Sus scrofa: one gene and its partner. The protein of the gene in region 1 purifies or fractionates together with the protein of each later gene. This does not show direct contact. Links are inferred from orthologs where the notes say so. Each region holds a gene or a part of one and is shown on either strand. Other genes may lie near its edges. The genes, in order: PSTPIP1 and WAS.

Region 1 (11,464 bases):
GGCCTCAGAAGATCAACCCCGGCACAGCTAAGCCTCGCTCTGGCCATGGCTTGTTCTGGCACCCAGGGTCATGGAGAACAAGGGCCTCACGCGTGGGGGCCTAGCCCGAGCCTCACACCACATCCTTAGGCAGCCCCGACTCCGGCAGCCTGCCTGCACATGAGCGTGGGCCCGTGCAATGCCCACGGCTGCCTGGACATGTGTGCGTGACCAGCCCCGGGGCCTCGCGCCATTCAGCACTTTTCACTCGGCAGGTACGGGCTGGGCCCCCTCATAAACACCGGGTGCTGTTCTAAGGGCCTCCGCCCAGCATATTCCCACCGCGGGGCTACCAGCGCCCTCTTAGCGAGGGGACGGAGCGGGGGACGCTCACCTGGGCTGTGTAGTCATAGAGCGCCCTGTAGTCCTGGGCTGGCAGGGTGGGGGGTCCTGGTACCTCCTGCACGTTGATGGCAGCGTAGACACCCTCATTCCGATCGGGGATGGGAGTCAGGGTCTCTGTGGAGGCTGAGAGCAGGGTGAGGCCTGGTGCCCGCCTCTTAGCAAAAAAACAGATCCCTGGAGGCCCCCCGGACGTGAAGCTTCCCCAGACCTGGCTCAGCCTCTGCCCGACCTCAACCGTTGGGGGGTCCATCTGTGCCAAGTAGGCATCCCCCCCTTTCCCCCCGGGTGACAGCTGCCCCCCCAATTACCCGCAGAAGCTGCTGGCGAAGCATTCTTGGGACTTCCGTGCAGTAGCCCGGAGAACCTGGGGACAGAGGAAAAGCAGGTGAGCGCTGGGGGGAGGATGAGGCAGGGGGCCCTCGGGTGATTTATGGGGTGCCCCTCACCAGGAGGGCTCCCCAAAGGGTGGTCCCAGTGGCTTTTCCCTCCCCAGCAGTGCTCTCCGGACCCTCACCCTGTAGACATCTCAGTACCTGCTCCCTGCGGAGCCTCGGGGGCGCCAAGACTTCTGTGCTCCAGCCTCCCCCAAGGGCGAAGGAGCTGCCGTCGGAACTCTGAGCACAGTCGCCAGTGAATAAGTGGGGGGGATTATTTGTTTAATGCCTAGGTCCCCTTGGGCCGAGGGTGTCACAAGGCTAGATTGAGCCTGTCTTGTCCCCAAAGAGCACCCAGCACCAGGCACACCACAGATACTCGATAAATACATACGGAAGAGCCAGCTGCAGGAGGAGAGGCTGGCCTCACTTCCCGGCCGCCCTGCCCCCTCTGCCCAGCCTCGTTCCCAGCTGGCTGGCATCATGCGGAGGCTCACCTCTTTATCATACCACAGGATGGCTGTACACCGGGGCTGCCACATGACGGGGAGATCTCCCGATCGTAGTAGTTCTGGTAGGGCACCGGAGCTGCAGACCACAGCAGGCCTGTGAGGCCCAGGGTGGCGAGGGCAGGGCAGGCAGGACACGTGCCACTCCCCACCCCTTCTTCTCCCCAGACAGAGACCCAGGCTGGGGCCCCACCTTCCTGGCCTATGCCCCAGCCTGCCTTGTGCCTGACGAGGGGGCCCCCCTCTCACTTCCCATGCAAGATCCCACGGTGGGTACCGCCAAGAACGAATATTCCAGACTCAAGATTTAGTGGGGCAAACAGGCTGGGTGCAGAGGAGGCTCCTTATCTCCCCGTTCTGTGTCCAGGGTTCTTTGGCCCTGCTCATCTTCTCAGAGGACAGGGGATTGCTGTCCCTAAGCTCTCTCTCGGGTCTGCTCCTTCACCCAGAAGGGAGCTGTGAGCCACCCCAGCTCTGTCTGGGCCCGAAGCTCAGAGAACCCAGGCCAGGCCTTGCAGGGAAGGCGGGCCTGGGCCCAGAGGCTGTGCTGCCTGCAGGCTGCCCTCACCTGGGGGCTCGGTGCCCGTGCTCTTGGCCTGGATGAAGCCGTCAATGTCAGCGTCCACGCTGCAGCCTTCCAGTGTCACCCGCACCTCTTCGTAGAGCTGGGGGTGGGAAAGAGCAGAGGCTGGAGGGTTAGAGCGCTGGCTGGCAGCTTCTCCTGGCTTTTGAACACCTACTGTGTGCCAGTTCCTTTGCAAGGGATTTACCTCACTCTGAGGTAGATGCGACTTGCTCACTTTATAGATGAGGAAACTCCGAGAAGGGTGACTTGCCCAAGGTCACAGAGCAGGAGTTCAGTGTGCTGGGCTTTGGATCCAGTATGAGACGATTCAGAGCCCACACCCCTTCCTCTGCCATGAGGAGGCCACCAGGTGGGCTCAAGTCACTTGTGGAGAAAACCCCAAAACTCCACCCCCCATGGGCAGAAGGGGTCAGGCAGGGGACAGCAGTTGGCGTCAGGGAGTCCGGGCTGCCTCGAGAGAGGGTCCATGGCTCCAGGGCTGCGTCAGCAGAAGTCCAGGCCCAGGGGGCCGGGGGGAGGTGGCAGGCCCTCTCTGCTGAGGAGGACACATCCGACATGTCGAGCTCAGTCAGGGGGGAACCAGGGCACACTTGAGGTGTCTGGGGGCAGAGGAGGGACTGGACCTTGGCTCCTGCAAGCACCAGGCCTGGAGCAGAACAACCCTGGGTACCACAGCTTATCTGCAGACCTGAGCAGCTAAGTCCACCTGCCTTCCCAAACCCGGCAGAGGGAGCAGGGTGAGCAGACGCCAGGGTCCCTGCAAAGCAGTCTTCTGGGCAGAGGCTGTGGCCCTGTGCCTGCTGACTCCCTGTCCTCGGGGCCCCAGGGCAGAGGCTCAATGCTGAGGTCTGAGGCCGCTGGGGCCAGGGCTCGGACCACAGAGGACTAGGTGTGCAGATGGCTCAGATGGCCCTGGGTGCGCTGTTGCCCAGAGGTTGCCCTCCCCTCACACCCCCACTCACCCCCTCCCCTCCCTGCCCTCGGCCCACACCTCGTCATCCTTGACGCACTGCATGGAGAGCTGGTTGCAGTGCACCCACAGGGCATTGCGGAGGATGGTCAGCCGGTCAAACTCTTGCAGCTGGAAGGCCTGGGGGGAGCAAGGGGAGAAGCTGGGGCGGGGGGTGCTACCGGGCTGGGCCAGGCCAGACCCCCTCTGCTGAGAGCCAAGTCTAAAGGAAGGATTCTTCCTGGAGAGCCCCACCCCCACCTCTGCCAGCCCCTGAGGCTTCTGGGAAGGGTGCAGCCTGTGGGATTCCTGCCCCCAGCCCTTCCTCCAGGCCCCACCGCAGCTCTGGGGCGTGGTGTACAGGGAGCCCTGGACCCTGAATCCTGAGGCTGCTGCCCTCAGCAGAGCCCAGGCAAGCTACAGGGTCTGCGTGCGCCTCAGTTTTGGTTTCAGCCAAAAGGGGCAAAGGATGACTGTCTGCAAGAAGGGCCCCTGCACAGGGCCTGTGGGATGAGTGGATGAGTGAGGGAATGAAGGAGCAATGCCTTCCCCCCCCCCCCACTGCCTCATCTCCCCCTGAAGCAGCCAGAGCAGGGGTGGTGGCTCCCGCGATGTAGCTGAGCAAGAGGCTCCATGCCTGGGGGTCACTCACCTCGCAGGTGGTCCGATGCTCCTGTTCCCACTCGCCCCGCACCTTCTCCAGCTGCTCGATGTTCTGCCTGTACACCCGCTCTGGAAGCACAGGGGGTCCTCAGGGAGGCCGCCCCTGCCTGGGTGCCTGCCTCCCACTGGAGACCCGCCCTGGCTGCCCGCACCCATTGGCACACTCGGCAGGGCCACCACCATGCTGGTCCCGCTCTTCTCAGGTGACTCAGCTCCCCGCTGTGCTCCGGCGGCCTGGGGCTGGGGCAGAGCCTTGTACACCCAAAGTCAGAGTCAGGCCTCTCGCCATCTCAGCTCCCACCATCTCACTTTCCAGATGGGAAACTGAGGCTCAGCGAGGGCAGCACACAAGGAGGGATGGAAGGGGCATCAGGAGCTGTGGGGCTGGGAAGCCAGGGGGGCTTAGGCCATGACCTCTGTCCCCCAGCCAAGGGAGAAGCTGGGTCCTGGGAAAGGCAGTGCCACCAGAAGGGAGAGCTTCCCAGGGAAAGAGAGCAAGGAGACGCTCTGTCCTAGGAATTGTGCCAGCAGAGACAAGAGGTGTGGGGGGCTTCTGACATCAGGAGAAAGATAGAGGAGACAGGCCCTGAGAAGGCTGTGTGCATATCTGAACACCTGTGGGTACGAGAGCGGTGTGTGCGAGGAGAGGGAGCCTATCTCCCTCGACTGTGGCTGTCCGGGCCCTGGGCCCTGGAGCCGAGGGCTTCTATTTGCAGTTATCACCACTTCCTCGCTCTGTGACCTTGAGCAAGTTACTTAACCTCTCTGTGCCACCAGAGTTTCCTCATCTGTTAAAAAGGGGGATCAAGACAGGGATCACTGTTGTGGTGTGGAGTAGTTCAAACGTGCAAACCACCAAGAACCGTCCTGGCAAATGCAAGAAAATGAATGTTTTTGTTTTACTCACATAAATGTGGAAGTGAGAGTGATGAGCAAGTGACAGTGTCCCTGGGGTGAAGGATGTGCGTGTGTGGTGGGGCCACCCCACCCCCTGGGCTGAGGAGGGGCCCTTCCACGTACCTGCCTCCATGGCGGAGTCCTTGCACTGCTTGGCCTTGTTCTGGCTCTGAGGAGACAGCAGAAAAGCAGCGCTGAGGCCCCAGCCCCCGGGTCCCCGGCCTCCCTGGGCATCTCAGAGGGGACCTGTCACAGCCTCCCCGGCCACCCAGCGGGACACTAAGGAGCCACATATGGGCAAGTTCCCTCGTTTAACTCCAGCCTCTCCCCACGGGCCCACAGGGTGGTTCTGATGAAAAAGGAATAAACCAGAAACCTGCAGCTCAGATGTGAAAACTAGATGCTGAGACTTAGAGCAAGAAACGACCTGGGGCCCCACGACCACTGCAGAACCCACTGCCTGGGGCTTGGGCTCTGGTCCTGACTCGCTGCCACCAACTCGCCCGCAGGCCCCTGCCCTCTCTGGGCCTTGGCTTTCCTGTCCGGGACAAGGGCAAACGCGTTCTCAGGCCCGGGAGGCTCCCACATCCCGTTCTGGCCTAGAGGTCAGAGCCGACAAGGGCTGGGGCCTGGCCACTCCGGGTGGGGGTGCTTTCTCTGCTGCTTCCTCGCCTTCTCTGGGCCCATTTCCTCTCTGTGACATGGGCCTACCGAGCCCCTCTCCCAAGGGTCATGTGAGGGTTAGCATCTGCTCTCATGGCCCTGTGAGCTCTGGGCCTGCTCCGAGGAAGGACCTTGAGTGCAGCCTGGACATGGCAAAGTGGATCGAGCTGACGCCATCTAGACCCTGAGATTCCAGGAAACCCATTTCACAGATGGGGAAATGGAGGTTCAGAGAGAGGGGAGCAGCCAGCGTGTTCCAGATGCACACCTTGCCTTAACGGTCTGTGTCACCCCTGCCCTGACTCCCGCCCTGTCTCAGCCCAGGGACACCAGGTGACTTCAGTGGCTCAACGCACCTTCTCCACCTGCTTCTGTTGCCCATTGGCACTAATGCGCTCAAAGATCTGCTCCGCGTCGTCAGCATCCCGGCACTTCTGCTCATACGTCTTCTTGGACTGGGGGGCGGGGACACAGACACATGACGTAGAGGCCCCAGAGGGAGGTTTCTGAGCTCAGCCTCTCTTCTACCCGCTGAGGGGTGTGGATGGAACAGGGGCTTCCTCACCACAGACAGGGACTGGGGGTCCAGAATGGAGATGGAGAAGGGCATCGTGTGCCCAGGCCCCTTCCCAGTGGGGACAGGGTAGCCCTGCCTGTGGCCCTGGCCTCTTCAGGGGCGTGGTCACATCAAACTACCAGCAGGGCCCTGAAAACGCCCTGCACTGTCACAGGGGCAGCCTCTGCACATGCCGTCCTCTCCTGTAGAGCCATTTTTTTCCTCCTTACTCTGTCCTAGGAGACAGTTCAGAGGTCCCCACTCCTTTCATCCCCCCAAGTCCCCAGCTCCAGCATGGATGACCCAGGGGACCACTGTCGGGACCAATTACCTGCCCATCAGGAGGAGCTCCCAAGGGCAGGTGGACCCAGCACAGCCCCACTGTGCCTGTTGCTGGACAGAGGCCTGAGGCCAGCCCTGTCCCTTGTGCCCGCCCAGGGCTCCTGGGATCCACACCCTGAGCCCTGCCACCCCCAGGCCCAAGGCCCTGGCACTCACCTCCATGGCCTTCTTGTAGAGGGACAGCTTACTCTTCTGGACACGGTCCATGACAGCTTCGAACTGCGGGGGACACGAAGCTCTGAGCGTGGGGCTGTGGCCTCGGGACACTCCCCTAGGCCAAGAGGACGGGTGTCCCTGGGATGAGGCCCAGCATCCCCTACTGGCTCTGAAGGGGGTGGCACCAAGACCCCCCTCTCCCAGGACCTGCTCTTTCACAACCAGCACTCAGAGCAGAAAGCGGGGAGCCCGAGGCACGGATGTGCCATCGTAGCCTCTCGCTACTGACCTGTCCAGACTTCATCTCTAGCTGGGGACACCCAGCCTGCACGCACGCATGCGCCCCTGTACCCGCATACAGCCATCATGCTCCGTGTACACATGCGCACAGAGTTCCACCCATGCGCAGAAGTACACGCTAAAAGGTTCCTACTGCTCATACTTGCACACACAAGGCCTTCACACACCTCTCCCAAGTGCCACCCCCCCTGCCATGAGCCTCTGCACACAGGTGAACACACACTCCAAATTTAGTCATGGCCACACACGCAGGCACACGGGGCCTCTGCACCCCCACCTTGCCTCCCGTGCTCCTCGTTCAGATGGAGGATGTGCCTGGCAGGGACTGGAAATGAGGGAATGAGACACCCCTCATGTCAGGGCTATAGCCAAGTTGTGCCTGGGGTCACAGTGGGGCCTGTGTCAGCGACAAGGCCTCAGGAAGCCACCTGGTCCAACACACACACACCAAGACACATGCATGTGTTCACAGGTGTGCACACACACACACACACCCATGTTCTCCTGGGCACACACACATGTCCATACATGCACATGTGTGCACACACATGCAGGCAGTCTTCCCCACACACTGCATCATAGCTCTCCTCTGCTTGTGGAGGACCTGGCCACTCTGCGGAAGGTGTCACTGTCCAAAACAGCTATTTGTAGACATCACAGTCTCACTGGCCACAGGAAAGCTCAAAATAGCCATCCTGGGGCCTCATGGTCACAGCAGATGTTTCCCAGGCAAGTTTCAGCCCAGAGAGGGCCTCTGCTCCTGCACCTCAAGGCCAGGCCAGTTTCTGTGGCTGGCTTTGGGGACCCACAGTCTGCTCAGGAACCCAGATTTAGAATCCTGAAAGGCTGAAACCCCAACTAGCTAGATAGGCAGACAGGGGGTGCAGCCACACTGAATTTCTGTGGTAAGAGCCTCTAATTGGAGCTGGCACCTTGCCTGTGAAGACTGAGGGGGGCTGGTTCTGGTCTGGGTCCCCAACACTTGGGAGGTGGACATAAGTGTCCCATCCTGCAAGAGGGAAACGGAGGCACAGACAGGGGAAGTGGCTTGGCCGGGATACTCAGTCCCAGCCATGAACTATCTCCTTCTTCCCCTTCCCAGCTCCGTTGAATGGATTCTTCCATTCCAGTTCCTTGGACAGTTTACAATGATCCTTCCTCTCCAAGCAAGAAGTACATCTGTGTGCTGGCCTCCCCGCCCCCGTCCAAGGCACCACCCTCATCACTGAGGCCCATCTGCCTTCCCAGAGGGCCACGAGCTCCACCAGTCAGAGTCTCAGGTTTGGGAGGGGGCCCTGGGACACAGAGGTCACCAAGCCCACCTCCCATCCAACCTCTGCTGCATCCCTCCCACTTCCTTTCCATGCGGTCCCTCTATCTAGGGACAGCCACACCCTACAGATGAGTGAAAAGCACTTTTGGATGCTAAGGTAAACTCAGCACCCCCACCACTTGCAAGCTCTGTTCCCTTCAGCCTCAGGCAGCCCTGCAGAATGGCCGCCGTGACTGACTCGCCCAAGTCCTCCTTTCTCCCGGATAAACAACCCTGATCCTTCAGCTCAGGACCAGTTTCTGGTGACTCCCCTCCTTTGGATACCCCCAAGCTGTCAGGGACCCTCTACAGCCTAGTGGAAGTAGGATAATCAAAATGACCAATGACTATGCAATGCAATACTATCAGCCATAAAAAAAAGAATGAAATAATGCCACTTGCAGCAACATGGATGCAACTAGAGATTCTCATAGTAAGTGAAAGAAGTCAGAGAAAGACAAATGTCATGTGGTATCCCTTATATGTGGAATCTAAAATCCAACGCAAGTCAATATATCTACACAACAAAAACAGGCTCACAGATATAGAGAACAGTCTTGTGGTTGCCAAGAGGGAGGGAAGGACTGGGAGTTCGGGGTTAGCAGATGCAAACCATTACACAGAGAATGGATCACAACAAGGACCTACTGTAGAGCACAGGGAATGGTATTCAATATCGTGTGATAACCATCATGGAAAAGAATGTGAAAAGAATATCTACGTGTGTACAAATGAATCACTTTGCTGCACAGCAGAAATTAACACAACATTGTGTAAATCAACTATACGTCAATAAAAATTTTTCAGAAAAAAATGTTAATGTCTTTCCCTCTTCTTGGTAGAAGATAGCTCAGTGGGAAGACCTACGGTCGGGCTTTCAGGCCTGAGAGCTGGGCCCTGTTCCAAGCCTGGAGTGCAGTCTCCCCACCTTCCAGGAGGAGAGCCCCTCCCCCACCACTTCCACTGCCTCACCTTCTTCCTCTGCTCCTTCTGCCTCTCTCGGAACTCCTCCAGGCTCCGCAGCTCCTCGCGCAGGGCCAGGGCCAGCTGGATGTGGGAGCTGCCCACGTTCTCCATTTCTGGGGGCAGAGTAAGGACGTCAGTTGCTGATATCAGACTTGATGGGCCCCAGCCGCTCACACACTCGCCCCCACCTGGACCAGCCCAGCCCCAACCCCACAGGGTGTCTCCACCAGCCTCACAACAACCCCTCCCAGCCAGGATCCATCCATCTCCAGCTATGGGGATACCGTGTTCCCAGAGGGTCCTGTCACCCTGCAGCCTGCGGTGGGGACAGGTGGGACTTACGCTGCTTCAGGGAGTCAAAGGAGGCCCTCAGGGAGCTGCAAAACAGAAAGACCAGGGTCAGCAGGAGGACAGCGGGGCAGAACCTGAAGTCCTGGCTGGGCCCAGGGACTTTTACTTCCGTGGGAGGGCGCTAGGTCACTCACACACACCGATCTCGACCCAAAGGACTCTCTGGCCAGACTGTGACCATCCCCTCAGAGCCCAAGCTGGAATTTCTGGAAGGCAAAGCTCTCTTTGGAAAATACAAAGGAGTCAAAAGCTCCCACTGTGGTGGAAGGCTCCTGGCTTCTGGGAGTCCCCAGCCCCCCGCCCCCCAGAGTCCCTCCCCGGTAGTCCTCTTCTCTCTTTAGAATGAACTGAAGCAGGAGAAGGTGGGGTTCAGACCTGGCAGGTGGCCTGAGGACATTTTGAAGGGAGTGGAATGGGGGCTCTGGGGGAAGGGGGGTGACAAGCAGGCAGGGGTGCTGCAGGGGAGAGATGTGGGGGCTTTAGGACAGGATGAAAAGGATGTACAAGTGAGGACATCAGAAGGCTGAGGGCTTCCCTGGTCCCTGGCTGGGCGGCTGGGCGGCTGGAAGGGACACCTCTGAGTGGGTCCCAGGAGGGAAGAAGATAGGGAGTTACTTTAGGGTGCACCAGGCTTGGGGTGCCTTAAAAACCCCAGCAGGAGGAGTCAGGAAGCATCGAGGTGGCCAGTCTAGAGCAGAGATGTAGGTGCTGTCCACTCCAGGGGTTGAGAGGGAGAGCGGGAAGGGAAGCAGGTGGCGCTGGGCATGGGAGGTGAGGGGTGATGCACCAGGTAGAATTGCGAGATGGAGCAAATAAAAATGCCGGATAGTTAAGTTCAGATTTCAGATAAACAAATACTTTTTGAATATAAGCATGCCCCTGGTAATATTTGGAATATACTTACATTTTTAAAATATCTGTCATTTATCTGAAATTCAAATTTACCGAGGCATTCTGTATTTTATCTGGCAGTCCTGTGGAGGGGGTCTCTCCCAGAGCTACAAATCGAGCTGAGGCCCGAGCAGAGGTGTCGAGCCCCCTTGGAACCCCATCCTGTCTGCTGGGAGGTGAGGGGCACCAGGAGGCACAGGGATCCTTGGGTCAGAATAGAACTGACAGGGAAATGCCTGCCCCAGCCTGTCAGGCACAGGGGCCTCTCAGAGGGGTGAGCACCACCTCCTGGCAGAGGAGGGAAGTGACTCGTACTCCCAGGCTAGGAACCTGGGTAGGGACCTCCCACTCTGGACTCCCACATGCATTAGAAGACGACCCTGGAGCCAGATGGTCTGGGTTCAGTCCAAACCCTGCCACTCACTCTCTGTGTGACCTTGGACAAGTTCCTTAGCCTGTGTCTCAGTTTCCCCTTCTGCCAAATGGGGATAAAAACAGCACAAACAGAATGGTTGTGAGGATCAAATGAATTCATATGTATAGAGTACCTCTGTCAGGACCTGGTGCAAAGCAGGTGCTTTACAAGGGCTGCTGTTGTTAGGCCTCCCTCTGCTGAGCCCACATCTGCACAACCGGAGGCATCCTGGGGGGGATCCCTCAGACTCCTGAACCTGACCTGAGCTATGCCCTCAAAACACTCTATCTAAGACCTTAATGCATGTCCCCTATTATCAGAAACCTCCTGTTGGTTCGCCTTCAGGTAGGGGGTCCCCTTGAAGCAGCCCCATAGATTAGGCTCCCTTTCCCTCACTCCCTGCCACCCCGTGGGCGTGAGGAACAAACTGATCATGAGCACATGTGTGTGAGGGATGCCCGGCCTGGGCCCGTGGGTGAGTCTCCAAGCACCCAGACAGAGCTGGTGTGTGGGGCTCTAGATTGGCCCTGAAGTGAGGCTTGTCGGCTCTCAGGAGTAAAATTCTCCGCCTGTGTTTATGGTCCCTTAACTAAGGAGGCGAAATACATACTGCGGCTGCCCCCTTCACCAGGACTCCTGAGGAGCCATAGCCAATTGGGCATATTAGGGAAACAGGCCAGAGGGTGGCCAGGCTTGCTGGGTCACACGGCGAAGCGTCCTGCCCTAGCCGCATTCTTTTGCCGCTATCCGCCCAGCGTGCCCTCGGCTTCCACCCCGCCGCTCCGCGAAGCAGCGCGCGCGCCCCCTGGTGGCCTTATCGCCGCATGACACCCAGTGAGACAGCCCTGCCCTTCTGCCCTCTCTCCTGCAATCCTTGCAAGTCAGGCTTGGCAGGGGGCTCCCTCCTCCCACAGGTCAGTTAGGGAAACTGAGGCCATGGAGGAGCAGCAAACCAGCAGCATCCGCATCACCTGGGGGTTTGTTAGAAACGCAGATTCTCAGGCTCTACCCCAGTCCTCCCAAAGCAGAAGCTGGGGGGTGGGGGCCCAGCACACCGTTTTGACAAGGCTCCAGGTACCGCTGATATAAGAACTCAGAATTCTTGGCCTAAATTATTGTCCTCACAACTCTGCCAGCCAGGGAGGGTGCC
Region 2 (11,464 bases), on another chromosome or scaffold:
TGGGCTCTGAGGGTAGGTCTGGAGCCGTGGAAGGGTAGGTGGGAGTTGAGTGGGGTCCAGGGGACTTTGGAGTTACTCACGTCAAATCCATTCTGGGGGTCCCACCCCACGTGGCTGACATGTCTGGGGGAGGTGAGGAGACCCCAATGAAGCCCCACTGCCCTTTCTTCCCTCCCTTCCTAGCGAAGCCCTCTTGCCCTCTCCTGCCCAGAGGGACCAGAATGAATGAATGGGTCATAAATGAATGAATGAGAGAAAACAGTAGTTACGGAATTAGAAGGTGGCCGGCCATAGTTTGTGATGCCCATCTGTCCACCCACCTCTCTTTCCACCATCCATCCGACCCATCTCTTTGTCTACTCAGCTATTCACATTCACCTGTCGGACACTGATTTCTATACATTTTTCTCTCTCCACTCATCTATCCATGCACATCTATTTACCCACTTATCCACCAATCTGTCTTCACTCACACTTATCCATCCACCCATCCATCTACCCCTGTGTCCATCTTCCCATCCATTCACTCGCGTGACGACCCATGCGACTACACACTGCTGACCACGTATCCCCTGCACTGTCCACACATCCACATATCTGGCCATCTATCCATCCTCATCCAACTTGCCTGTGAGCCCATCAGCCTATATATCCATCTGTCCATATACTCATCCCCTCAGCCATCCATCTACCGACCCACTTCCCATTTATCCACCCATTCATTCTCCAACCCACCTACCCATCCATCCATCCATCCATCTACCCTCCCCCCAACTCATGGGCCAGCCTAACCGGGGTAGGACTAGGTTGAGATGAGTGAAAGTGTTAGGGAGCAAACTTTAAGGAGGCACTCACTCTGGGTCATGAACTGTAGTTGGACAACCTGGAGAGGGATAGCCTCTACAACGTTTGCAATCATGGTGACCTAGTCCCGGCCTTGCACTCACCCACCCACCCATCCATTTTCCCATCCTTCCAACCACTTGGCTCGCCTCCTGTCCACCTGCTTATGCGCTCCCCCACCCCCCAGGGATCCATGGGCCCACTGGGGAGAGGTTCTCACTTGAATCCGCTGGGTGCACCAATATCAGCCTTGCTGATCTTTTTCTTCCCTGAGCGTTTCTTATCACCTGGACCAGGCCCCGGGGTCGGGAGCCCACGGTATCGTGAATTTGTGATGTCTGGGTTCTGGATGTCCACTGTCACCAAGGACAGTGAGCTGCTTCCTTGACCTGTGGGGAAAATAGGGGGACTGAGTCATTGACCCAACCAAGCAAAGCACAGGCATAAGAGACAGGAAGATAGCTGGGAGAATCTCTGTGTCTGATGGTTGTGGAGGGAGGGGGTGAGGGGGTCCAAGTAGGGTTTATGGAGAAGAGTGTGGTTGGGGCCCACAAACCATCCACGCATTCACTGATTCATTTATTTATGTTCACTCACGCTTATCACTTAAGTATCAACTCATTGATTCACTTGCTCATGGACTAATCTGTTAAATTACTTGTTCATTCATTCATTCATTGCTTTCTCCACAGATTGAAATTTTTTTCTCACTTGTAAATCCCAAGATGCTTGGGATTAGTCCTTTTTTTTTATTATTATTAAGGTGTAGTTGGTTTCAATGTTGTGCCATCCACTGTTTGCAATTTTTTTTTTTTTTGGTCTTTTAGGGCTCCACCCATAGAATATATGGAGGTTCCCAGACTAGGGGTTGAATTGGAGCCTATACCACAGCCACAGCAACACCAGATCCAAGCCGCATCTGTGACCTACACCATAGCTCATGGCAATGCCAGATCCTTAACCCACTGAGCGAGGCTGGGGATTGAACCTGCATCCTCATGGATGCTAGTCAGATTCGCTTCTGCTGCATCACGACAGGAACTCCACTGCTTGCAATTTTATGTCACTCATTTATTCACTGTTGAATTCAGTCACTCATTCAGTCAATCATCCATCCATCCATTCATCTATTTATCCCCATACCCATTCACCTGTATATCTTTTTTTTTTTTTTTGTCTTTTTGTCTTTTCCAGGGCCACTCCTGCAGCATATGGAGATTCCCAGGCTAGGGGTCTAATCAGAGCTGTAGCCACCAGCCTACGCCAGAGCCACAGCAACGCGGGATCTGAGCCACATCTGCGACCTACACCACAGCTCACGGCAATGCCGGATCCTTAACCCACTGAGCGAGGTCAGGGATTGAACCCGCAACCTCATGGTTCCTAGTCAGATTCGTTAACCACTGAGCCATGACGGGAACTCTCACCTATATATCTATACACACAACCTGTACATCTATCTATATTTTCATCCTTCCCTCAATTCCTCGTCCTATTCAATCATTTGTCCACCACCAATCCATCTAACTACACATCCATTCACCTACTCATTCACCCACTTATCTCTGTACCCACCCACTTACTCACCCATCCACCCACTCCCCCACCCACCTGCCCACCCAGAGACACAGGGAAGAATCAGCACTCACCCCCTTGGTCTCCACCTGGGTGCGGGGGCACGGGTGGGAGCGCTCCTCTTCTCTCTGGGAAGATGGGATGGGTAGAGAGCCATTGCAATCCTGCCACAGGTTCCTGGGCCGGGCCCTTTTTACTCCTAATTGCACTCGCTAAAGGACTCACCTTCATTGGCTGGTGTGGGTGGAGTGGGGAGCTGGCGCCTGTCTGTGGAGAGACAATTCGACTGGGAACCAGAACCATGATGGGGGCTTTTCCAGCTTCCCACTCTTTTTTTTTTTTTTTGTCTTTCTGCCATTTCTTGGGCCGCTCCCGCGGCATATGGAGGTTCCCAGGCTAGGGGTCGAATCAGAGCTGTAGCCCCCGGCCTACACCACAGCCACAGCCACGTGGGATCTGAGCCGCGTCTTCGACCTACACCACAGCTCACGGCAACGCCAGATCCTTAACCCACTGAGCAAGGCCAGGGATCGAACCCGCACCCTCATGGTTCCTCGTCGGATTCATTAACCACTGAGCCATGACGGGAACTCCCTCCAGCTTCCCACTCTTGCACTCACCTCTGGGCAACCTCTTCTCCTCCCCCAAGGCCTGCTCACCTCCACTTTGCCTCTGATTCCTTTTTTGGATCTTCTCGTGCACCAGGGCCCGGAAGGCCTGGGCCTCGCCCTCATCTGCAAAGTTCAGCCCCGCCTGGCATTCCTGCACAGGCCTGGGGGTCAGCAGCCTTCCAGGTGCACCCTGCCCCCCACCCCGACCCCTTTCCCACCTCCTCCCAGCACCCCGACTGAGGCCCCTGGGGGTTGGGTGGTCTCTTACATCTCCAGCAAAGGTGTGGAAGAAGGGGGTGGGCGTGGAGTAGACCAGCTGTGAGTACAGCTCCTGTTCCCAGAGCAGCCGGCCGGCCTGGAGAGGCAGGGAACATGCTGGCACTGAGGCGTAGTATACAAATTTGGGGTCCTGGGATCTGATTTGGAGCTTTCTAGTTCAGCATCAGAGAGTTGAGGGACTAGATGTCTGGGGCGGATTGGGGTGCACTATGGGAGTCAGATACTTCAGTGAGAGGATTTGGGATTTGGGGGTTTGAAGGTGAGGATTGAGACTCTCAGTCTAGGAACCTGAGCCCCTTTGCAGAATCCATCCTGAAGCCTGCCCCCCTTTATGGGGGGGCCTTCGTTTGGGCAGGTAGGGTGCCAGTATTGGGAACTGGGTTGAGATTTGAGGTTCAGACCTATAGACTTGGGAGGTTGATTTTTGTCTTGGGGGGTAGCCAGCCAAGTTATGTGCAATTTGAGGTTCATAGAGTAGAGTTATGGCTTTGGATTTGGGTCAATATTCGATGGCCCTGGGATTTTTTTTGGGGGGGGGCTAGTGTGCAGCAGCTTGATGTGGGATCTCAGCTCCCAGACCAGAGATTGAACCCGAGCTGCAGTGGTGAAAGCTCTGAATCTTATCCACTAGACCACCAGGGAACTCCCAGCTCTGGGATCTTGATGTGGCTCTACTGAGTCTATCTTCATGGGTTTAGAAGAATGAATTTGGGGTTTATGCTTAGGGAGTTGAGGTTGGGGATTTGTGGAACAGATTTCTGGCAGTATTTGCGTGCTCCGGAGTTTTCACATAGGAATTCTGGGGTCCATGCTGTGGTTTTAACAGAACAAATTTGGAGTTCAAGACTCAATGGCATATTTAGACTGGGGGGTTATGGAACAGATTTATGACTTAGGAGCTAGGCAAAATTCTGGAGTTCAGGAGCTTTGAGTGGGAATATTTTTTTTGTTTTTCTTTTTAGGGCTGCACTCATGGCATATGGAGGTTCCCAGGCTAGGGGTCGAATCAGAGCTACAGCTGCCAGCCTACACCACAGTCACAGCAATGCGGGATCTGAGCCACATCTGTGACCTACACCACCGCTCACGGCAATACTGGATCCTTTACCCACTGAGCAGGGCCAGGGATCGAACTGGCACCCTCATGGATGCTAGTTGGGTTCATTAACCGCTGAGCCACAATGGGAACTTCTGAATGGGGATTTCTGAAACCCAAAATGTTGAGTTGCGAACAGATTTGAGGTTCACATAAAAAAATAATAGCCTGTTTTTTTGGAGGTTTTGGAACAGCTTAGACTTTGGAAGTATACTAATATTGGGAATTATAGATCTTGCCATGAAGACTCTGGGGTCAGTCATCGCAGACTTAGGAAGCCAAACCACGGGTTGACATCTGGATGAAGTCTTTGGTTCTGGGGATCAGGGGTTCACTGATCTGAGGGCTCAGGGTTACGGATATAGGTGTGGGTTTGCGGGTTGAAAGCTAGGGTGTCTGTCCGGTGGGGGGGTGTGGAGGGTCACCTGAAGGCCGTAAAGGCGGATGAAGTAAGACTTCTGGGGGTTATCCTTCACGAAGCACACAGCTCCACAGTGTTCTTTGGTCCAGTGCTCAGCTCCAGGGGGCAGCGCCAGGTACAGCTGAACAACCGCGGTGGCCAGTGTCTGGGAGGGGAGAGCAGGTCTCAGTCGGGGGGGGGGAGCGCTGAGGGGGGGTTGGCCAGAGAGGCTGGGAACCAGACGTGGTCCTTCCTTGTCCATGGCTGTCCTGGCTCTGAAGGTAGAGCTGCAGCCAGAGGAAAAGCGAATAGACGGGGAGATCTTCCTGGGATGGGTGAATGGGGGTAAGTGGGTGCCAGGAGAGGAGATGATGGAAAGGAAGAGGACGAGGGGAGGCAAGAAGGATGAGGAAGATGAGGAGAGAGGGAGAGGAGGCGAGGGGGAGGATGAGGAAGATGAAGAGGCGGAAGAGGAGGCGGAGAGGAAGAGGAGGAAAAGGAGACAGGGAGGGCCAGGCGATCCCCAGCTCACCCAGCATTTCCGTCCGAGCATCTCAAAGAGTCGCTGGTTCTCATGGTCCTGGAGGAGCGCAGAGGGTATGTTCTGCTGGACCGCGGCTCCTCCTCGGCCCCCGGGCCTGCCTCCCGCAGGGCCCCCACTCATGGTGCCTCCTGTCCTCGTCTTCTCCCGTCCTGTCCTCTCCGGCTAGGCTCTGAGTGCAGGGTAAGAAGAGGAACTTCCGCAGTGAGCAGGGGAACAGGAAGTGCAAAAAACCACAAGGGAAACAAGTCCTCCGGGGGCCCCTGGGTGGGCCTGGCCTCCTCCTGCCTTCAACGGGGGGGGGGGGGGGGGGCTCCTCCATGTGCCTGGTTGGACCCATCTTTTGGACCCACTCATGTCCGCCTCCTTTCTTTCTTGCGCTCTGGGGCCCACCTCCCTCTGACCAGCGCAGATCGGCCTCCCTCTGGTTGGCTGGCAGCAAGAGCTAGGCCGCTGCGGCACTTCTGCAGTGCAGCCAGGAGCGGGCATGGAGCCGGGCAGCCTCCTTCCTTTCCAAAGCATCCAGCTAGTCTGGGCCCAAGGTCCCAGGCCCCTAGGGCTGAAGGGTTACTAGGTGAAAGCTTTTCCTTTAATGATATAGCTAGCGCCTGGGACCCTAGCCCTCTCCTGAGACCCCCAACAGCCCAAGGGCACTCAGCTCAGCTTCCCCATTGCTACCCCTACCTCCCTGTGGCTCCCAAAGTACTTCCTGCTTATTATCCTCCTTTATTTTTTAAAAAAAATTCATCTCTGGAGTTCCCGTTGTGGCTCAGTGGTTAACACATCCGACTAGGAATCATGAGGTAGTTGGTTTGATCCCTGGCCTTGCTCAGTGGGTTAAGGATCCAGTGTTACCGTGAGCTGTGGTGTAGGTCGTAGATGAGGCTCCGATCCTGCATTGCTGTGGTTCTGGTGTAGGCTGGCAGCTACAGCTCCGATTCGACCCCTAGCCTGGGAACCTCCATAAGCTGCAGGACCGGCCCTAGAAAAGACGAAAAAAAAAATCCCTTTTTCTTTCTTTTCTTTTTTCTTTTTCTTTTTTTGTAGGGCTGCACCCAAGGCACATGGAGGTTCCCAGGCTAGTGGTCGAATCAGAGCTGTAGCCACTGGCCTGCGCCACAGCCACAGCAACGCCGGATCCTTAACCCACTGAGCGAGGCTATGGATTGAACCTATGTCCTCATGGATACTACTCAGATTCGTTTCCATTGAGCCACAATGGGAACTCCCTCCTTTTCTTCCTTTTTAAAAAAAATCTTATCCCCCTTTTTTTAAGAAAGGAATGCTAGGAGCTCCCACTATGGCGCAACAGGATTGGTGGCATCTCTGGAGTGCTGGGGCACAGGTTCAATGCCAGCCTGGCACAGTGAGTTAAGGATTTAGGCTAGTCTCAGCTGATGCTTCGGCTGCAGCTGCAGCTGGGATCTGATCCCTGGCCTGGGAACTCCATAGGCCCCAGAGGCAGCCAAAAAAAGAAACAAGAAGGAAGGGATTTTATAGCCTATGTGCATGAATGCCTAAACACCATCTTGTTTACTTGCGGGTCCGTTGCTTTTCAACTTTTGAAAGTTTGTAATCTTTGGAGACTTGTTTTTCTCCTTACTCAACATCCTGTTTATATGTATAGCACTGAACTGTGTGAGCCAGGCACTATTCTGACTTCTTTGTAAATACTGACTCATTTAAATCCTCATACCAGCCTGGGGGACACATGCTGTTTTACCAGGTCCATGTGACAGAGGGAAACTGAGGCACAGAATGCTTAAATGACTTCCCCAGTAGCTCCCAGCTAGTAAGGGGCAGAGCCCAGACCGCAAGCCAGAAAGGCTGGGTGCAGAGTGTACACTTTTTTTCTTTTTAGGGCTGCACCTGCAGTGTATGAAAGTTCCCAGACTAGGGGTCGAATCGGAGCTGTAGCTGCCAGCCTACCCCACAGCCACAGCAATGCCAGATCCGAGCTGTCTGACCTACACCATAGCTCATGGCAATGCCGGATCCTTAGTCCACTGAGCGAGGCCAGGGATCGAACCCAAATCCTCATGGATACTAGTTCATTACCACTGAGCCACAACAGGGAACTCCCCATAGTGTACACTTTTCATGCTCCATCCCCACTCTGTTACTAAGATTCATATTTGGAGTTCCCGTCGTGGCGCAGTGGTTAACGAACCCGACTAGGAACCATGAGATTGTGGGTTCGATCCCTGGCCTCGCTCAGTGGGTGAAGGATCCGGCGCTGCCGTGAGCTGTGGTGTAGGTCGCAGACGCAGCTCGGATTCCGTGTTGCTGTGGCTGTGGTGTAGGCCGACAGCTGTAGCTCTAATTGGACCCCTAGCCTGGGAACCTCCATATGGCGCAGGTGCGACCCTAAAATGACAGACCGGAAAAAAAAAAAGATTCATATTTGCTTGTAGCAGTTGTTATTTTCAGTGCTATATAGTATATACCATATAGCATATATATATATATATATATATAGTTACTATACAATTTGTTTATTCATATCCTCCTGTTAACAGGTATCTGAGCTGTTTCTGGCTTTTGTGGTTGACAGCAACACTGGCTGCTGTGTTGCTCCTGTATGCATCTCTTGGTCCACATAGGCATGCACCCTCTCAGGAGGGGAATCTGGGCATTGCAGGGTTTGCATAGCTCTCATTTTTTTTCCCACCCCTTGGCATATGGAGTTCCCCAGCCAGGGATCAGATCCAAGCCACGGTTGCAATGTGAGACACAGCTGTGGCAATGCCAGATCCTTAACCCACTGTGGCGGGCCAGGGATCAAACATTGGTCCCAGCGCTCCCAAGATGCCACCTATCCTGTTGTGCCACAGCAGGAACTCCTGCAATAGCCCTTTAAAAATGTTTTTCTGGGCATTCCCACTGTGGCTCAGTGAGCTAAGGACCCAACGTTGTCTCTGTGAGGATGTGGGTTTGAACCCTGGCCTTGCCCAGTGGTTAAGGATCTGGTGTTGCCATGGCAACTGCAGCTCCAGTTCCATTCCTGGCTCGGGAACTTCCACATGCTGCAGGTACGGCTGTAAAAATAGAAGAAAAAAAAAAAACATGTTTTTCTTTTTGGCCACACCCATGGCATGTGGAAGGTCCTGGGCCAGAGGTCGAACCTGCGCCATAGCAGTGACAATGCCAGATCTTTAACCTACTGAGCCGCAAGGGAACTTCAAGAGCTCTAACTTTGACAGACTGTCTCCCCAGACGAATGCCAGCTCAGTCCCCACGCCTCCCTGGGTCACGAAGAGGACACAAAGACACGCAGCTCTCAGGCACACATACAGCAGCTTGGTGGGGGTGGAGGCAGGTTAGCATGTCTGGCATGTGACTGGCATATTCCCAGGTACCTGAAGGGAAAAAGCATATTTCAAGGCTGGACCCACAGTCCTATCTGGAAACCTTGTATCGCCCCCATGCCTGCAGGTGACAAGCTTCTCTCCTAAGCCTAGGCTCAAAGCCTGTTGTGCTGTGACAATTCCAATGTCCCTGCCTCCTCTCTGCTCACAACCTCATGTTGGGTGCTCCCAACTCACCAGGCGATGGATTTCACACCTTCTGGCCTGGAGCCCCTTCCAGGCTGGGGTAAGGTCCTGCTTCTCCTCAGCTGGCCACTGCATTCGCTCAGGTTGACACTGTTGTTGAGCTCTCACTGTGCACCAAGCATCCCTCCAGTATCTGGCACAAACCAGACACTCAATAAATGTTTTATTAAAGGAATGAATGAGGGATGAATGTCTCATTTGATTTCATATTTTCTGATCTTTTTCTTTAAAAGTATTTTTGTTTTTTGGTCTTTTTAGGGCTGCACCCTCGGCATATGGAGGTTCCCAGGCTAGGGGTCAAATTGGAGTTGTAGCCACCGGCCTACACCACAGCCACAGCAACACCAGACATGAGACGCACCTGTGAACTGTACCACAGCTCACGCCAACACGGGATCCTTAACCCACGGAGGGAGGCCAGGAATCAAACCTGTGTCCTCATGGATGCTAGTCAGATTCGTTTCCGCTGACCCATGATCGGAACTCCTTAAAAATTTTTTTAAAATAAGGTATATTTGATTTACACTGTTGTGCCAATTTTCACTGTACAGCAAAGTGACCCAGTCATCCATATATATATTCTTGTTCTTTTTCTCACATTATCTTCCATCGTGTTCTAGCACAAGAGATTGGATAGAGTTCCCCGTCCTATACAGTAGGATCTGATCTTTTTCTAAGTGCCTTACACTTATGAACTCATTTCATACACAAAGATCCCATGAGGTAAGCTCTCCTGCTATCTCCATTTTACTGATGTGGAAGCTGTGGCCCAGAGAAGTGTAGCTGACCTGCTTGAGGGCACACAGCTGTCCAGTGGTGGAGCTGAGGCCAATTATGTGAGAACTGGTTCCTAAACTGTTAAATGCCAGGTGGGGCTGAGAGAAAATTCTTCTGCTCCTTCACTGTCTTTTTTTTTAATCCTTCTTTCTCTGCTTCTAGATCGGTCCCCCATAAGTCTACATCAGAGGGCTTTAAACCTCGGCAACATTTGCTGGTGGTTTTGTAAATTAACATTTAAAAGTTGTATATTTCCTGTTCTTATTTCTAAGGAGCAGACACTTGTATTTGCTTTTTTAAAAAAATTAAAGTATCATTGATTTACAGTGTTTTTTTGCCTTTTATTTTTTGTCTTTTCTAGGGCCGCACCCGCGGCATATGGAGGTTCCCAGGCTAGGGTTCGAATCAGAGCTGTAGCTGCCGGCCTACACCACAGCCACAGCAACGAGGGATCCCAGCCGCATCTGTGACCTACACCACAGCTCACAGCAAGGCCGGATCCTTAACCCAGTGAGCGAGGCCAGGGATTGAATCCGAAACCTCATGGTTCCTAGTCGGATTTGTTAACAACTGAGCCATGACGGGAACTCCTGTTTTTTTTTTTTGCTTTTTTAAGGCTGCGCCCACCGTATATGAAATTTCCCAGGCTAGGGGTCAAATCGGTGCTGCAGCTGCTGGCCTATGCCACAGCCACAGCCAAGCCAGATCCAAGCTGTATCTGCAACCTAGACCACAGTTCCCAGCAATACCAGATCCACGACCCACCGAGCGAGGGCATGGATTGAACTCACATCCTTATGGATACCAGTCAGATTCCTTCATGCTGCACCACAATGGGAACTCCCTATATTCATTCTTTTGAAATATTCTTTTCCATCACGGTCTGTCCCAGAAAGTTGGATATAATTCCCTGTACTGTACAGATGTTTAAAATGTGTATTTTTTTCAGAGTTCCTGTTGTGGCTCAGTGGTTAACGAATCCGACTAGGAACCATGAGGTTGCAGGTTCAATCCCTGGCCTTGCTCAGTGGGTTAAGGATCCAGTGTTGCCATGAGCTGTGGTGTAGGCTGAAGATGTTACTTGGATCCTACGTTGCTGTGGCTGTGGTGCAGGCCAGCGGCTACAGTTCCAATTTGACCCCCAGTGTGGCAACCTCCATATGCTGTGGGTGCAGCCCTAAAAAGACAAAAATGAAAATAAAAATAATAATAAATAAAAAGAACAAAACCCAAAGGATAAGCAATGAGATTCTGCTGTACAGCCCGAGGAACTATATCTGATCACTTGTGGTGGAACATGATGGAGGACAATGTAAAAAAAAAAGAATGGGAGTTCCTGTTGTGGCGCAGCGGAAACAGATCTGACTAGGAACTATGAGGTTTCAGGTTCAATCCCTGGCCTCCCTCAGTGGGTTAAGGATCTGGCGTTGCTCTGAGCTGTGGTGTAGGTCGCAGATGTGGCTCAGATCTGGTGTTGCTCTAGCTGTGGTGTAGGCCAGCAGCTGTAGCTCTGATTCAACCCCTAGCCTGGGAACCTCCACATGCTGCAGGTGCAGTCCTAAAAAGACCAAAGACAAAAAAAAAAAAAAAAAGAATGTCGTATATGTATAACTGGGTCACTTTGCTGTATAGCAGAAATTGACAGAACACTGTAAATCAACTATAATTAAAAAATTAAAGAAAGGGTTAAGGATCCGGTGTTGCTGTGGCTGTGGCGTAGGCCAGTGGCTACAGCTCTGATTCAACCCCTAGCCTGGGAACCTCCATGTGCCTCAGGTGTCGCCCTAA

The links.
Region 2: the proteins of PSTPIP1 (region 1) and WAS purify together in Homo sapiens (affinity purification with western blotting; 3 studies listed by BioGRID and IntAct, with this or other methods). This does not show direct contact. The link is inferred for Sus scrofa from reciprocal best matches to the Homo sapiens genes PSTPIP1 and WAS.

Annotation. Positions count from the first base shown.
Region 1 is NC_010449.5:57,132,939-57,144,402, reverse strand, and holds part of PSTPIP1 (proline-serine-threonine phosphatase-interacting protein 1), read right to left. Parts: intron 9,035-11,464; coding exon 9,000-9,034; intron 8,771-8,999; coding exon 8,664-8,770; intron 6,143-8,663; coding exon 6,080-6,142; intron 5,481-6,079; coding exon 5,382-5,480; intron 4,532-5,381; coding exon 4,486-4,531; intron 3,535-4,485; coding exon 3,455-3,534; intron 2,944-3,454; coding exon 2,845-2,943; intron 1,933-2,844; coding exon 1,836-1,932; intron 1,347-1,835; coding exon 1,256-1,346; intron 749-1,255; coding exon 693-748; intron 508-692; coding exon 374-507; intron 1-373. UniProt on the Homo sapiens protein: Involved in regulation of the actin cytoskeleton. May regulate WAS actin-bundling activity. Bridges the interaction between ABL1 and PTPN18 leading to ABL1 dephosphorylation.
Region 2 is NC_010461.5:42,777,648-42,789,111, reverse strand, and holds part of WAS (wiskott-Aldrich syndrome protein), read right to left. Parts: intron 8,907-11,464; exon of another isoform or gene 8,891-8,906; intron 8,656-8,890; exon of another isoform or gene 8,640-8,655; intron 5,518-8,639; 5' UTR 5,469-5,517; coding exon 5,337-5,468; intron 4,971-5,336; coding exon 4,830-4,970; intron 3,385-4,829; coding exon 3,298-3,384; intron 3,181-3,297; coding exon 3,078-3,180; intron 2,686-3,077; coding exon 2,644-2,685; intron 2,547-2,643; coding exon 2,493-2,546; intron 1,233-2,492; coding exon 1,064-1,232; intron 124-1,063; coding exon 81-123; intron 1-80. UniProt on the Homo sapiens protein: Effector protein for Rho-type GTPases that regulates actin filament reorganization via its interaction with the Arp2/3 complex. Important for efficient actin polymerization. Possible regulator of lymphocyte and platelet function.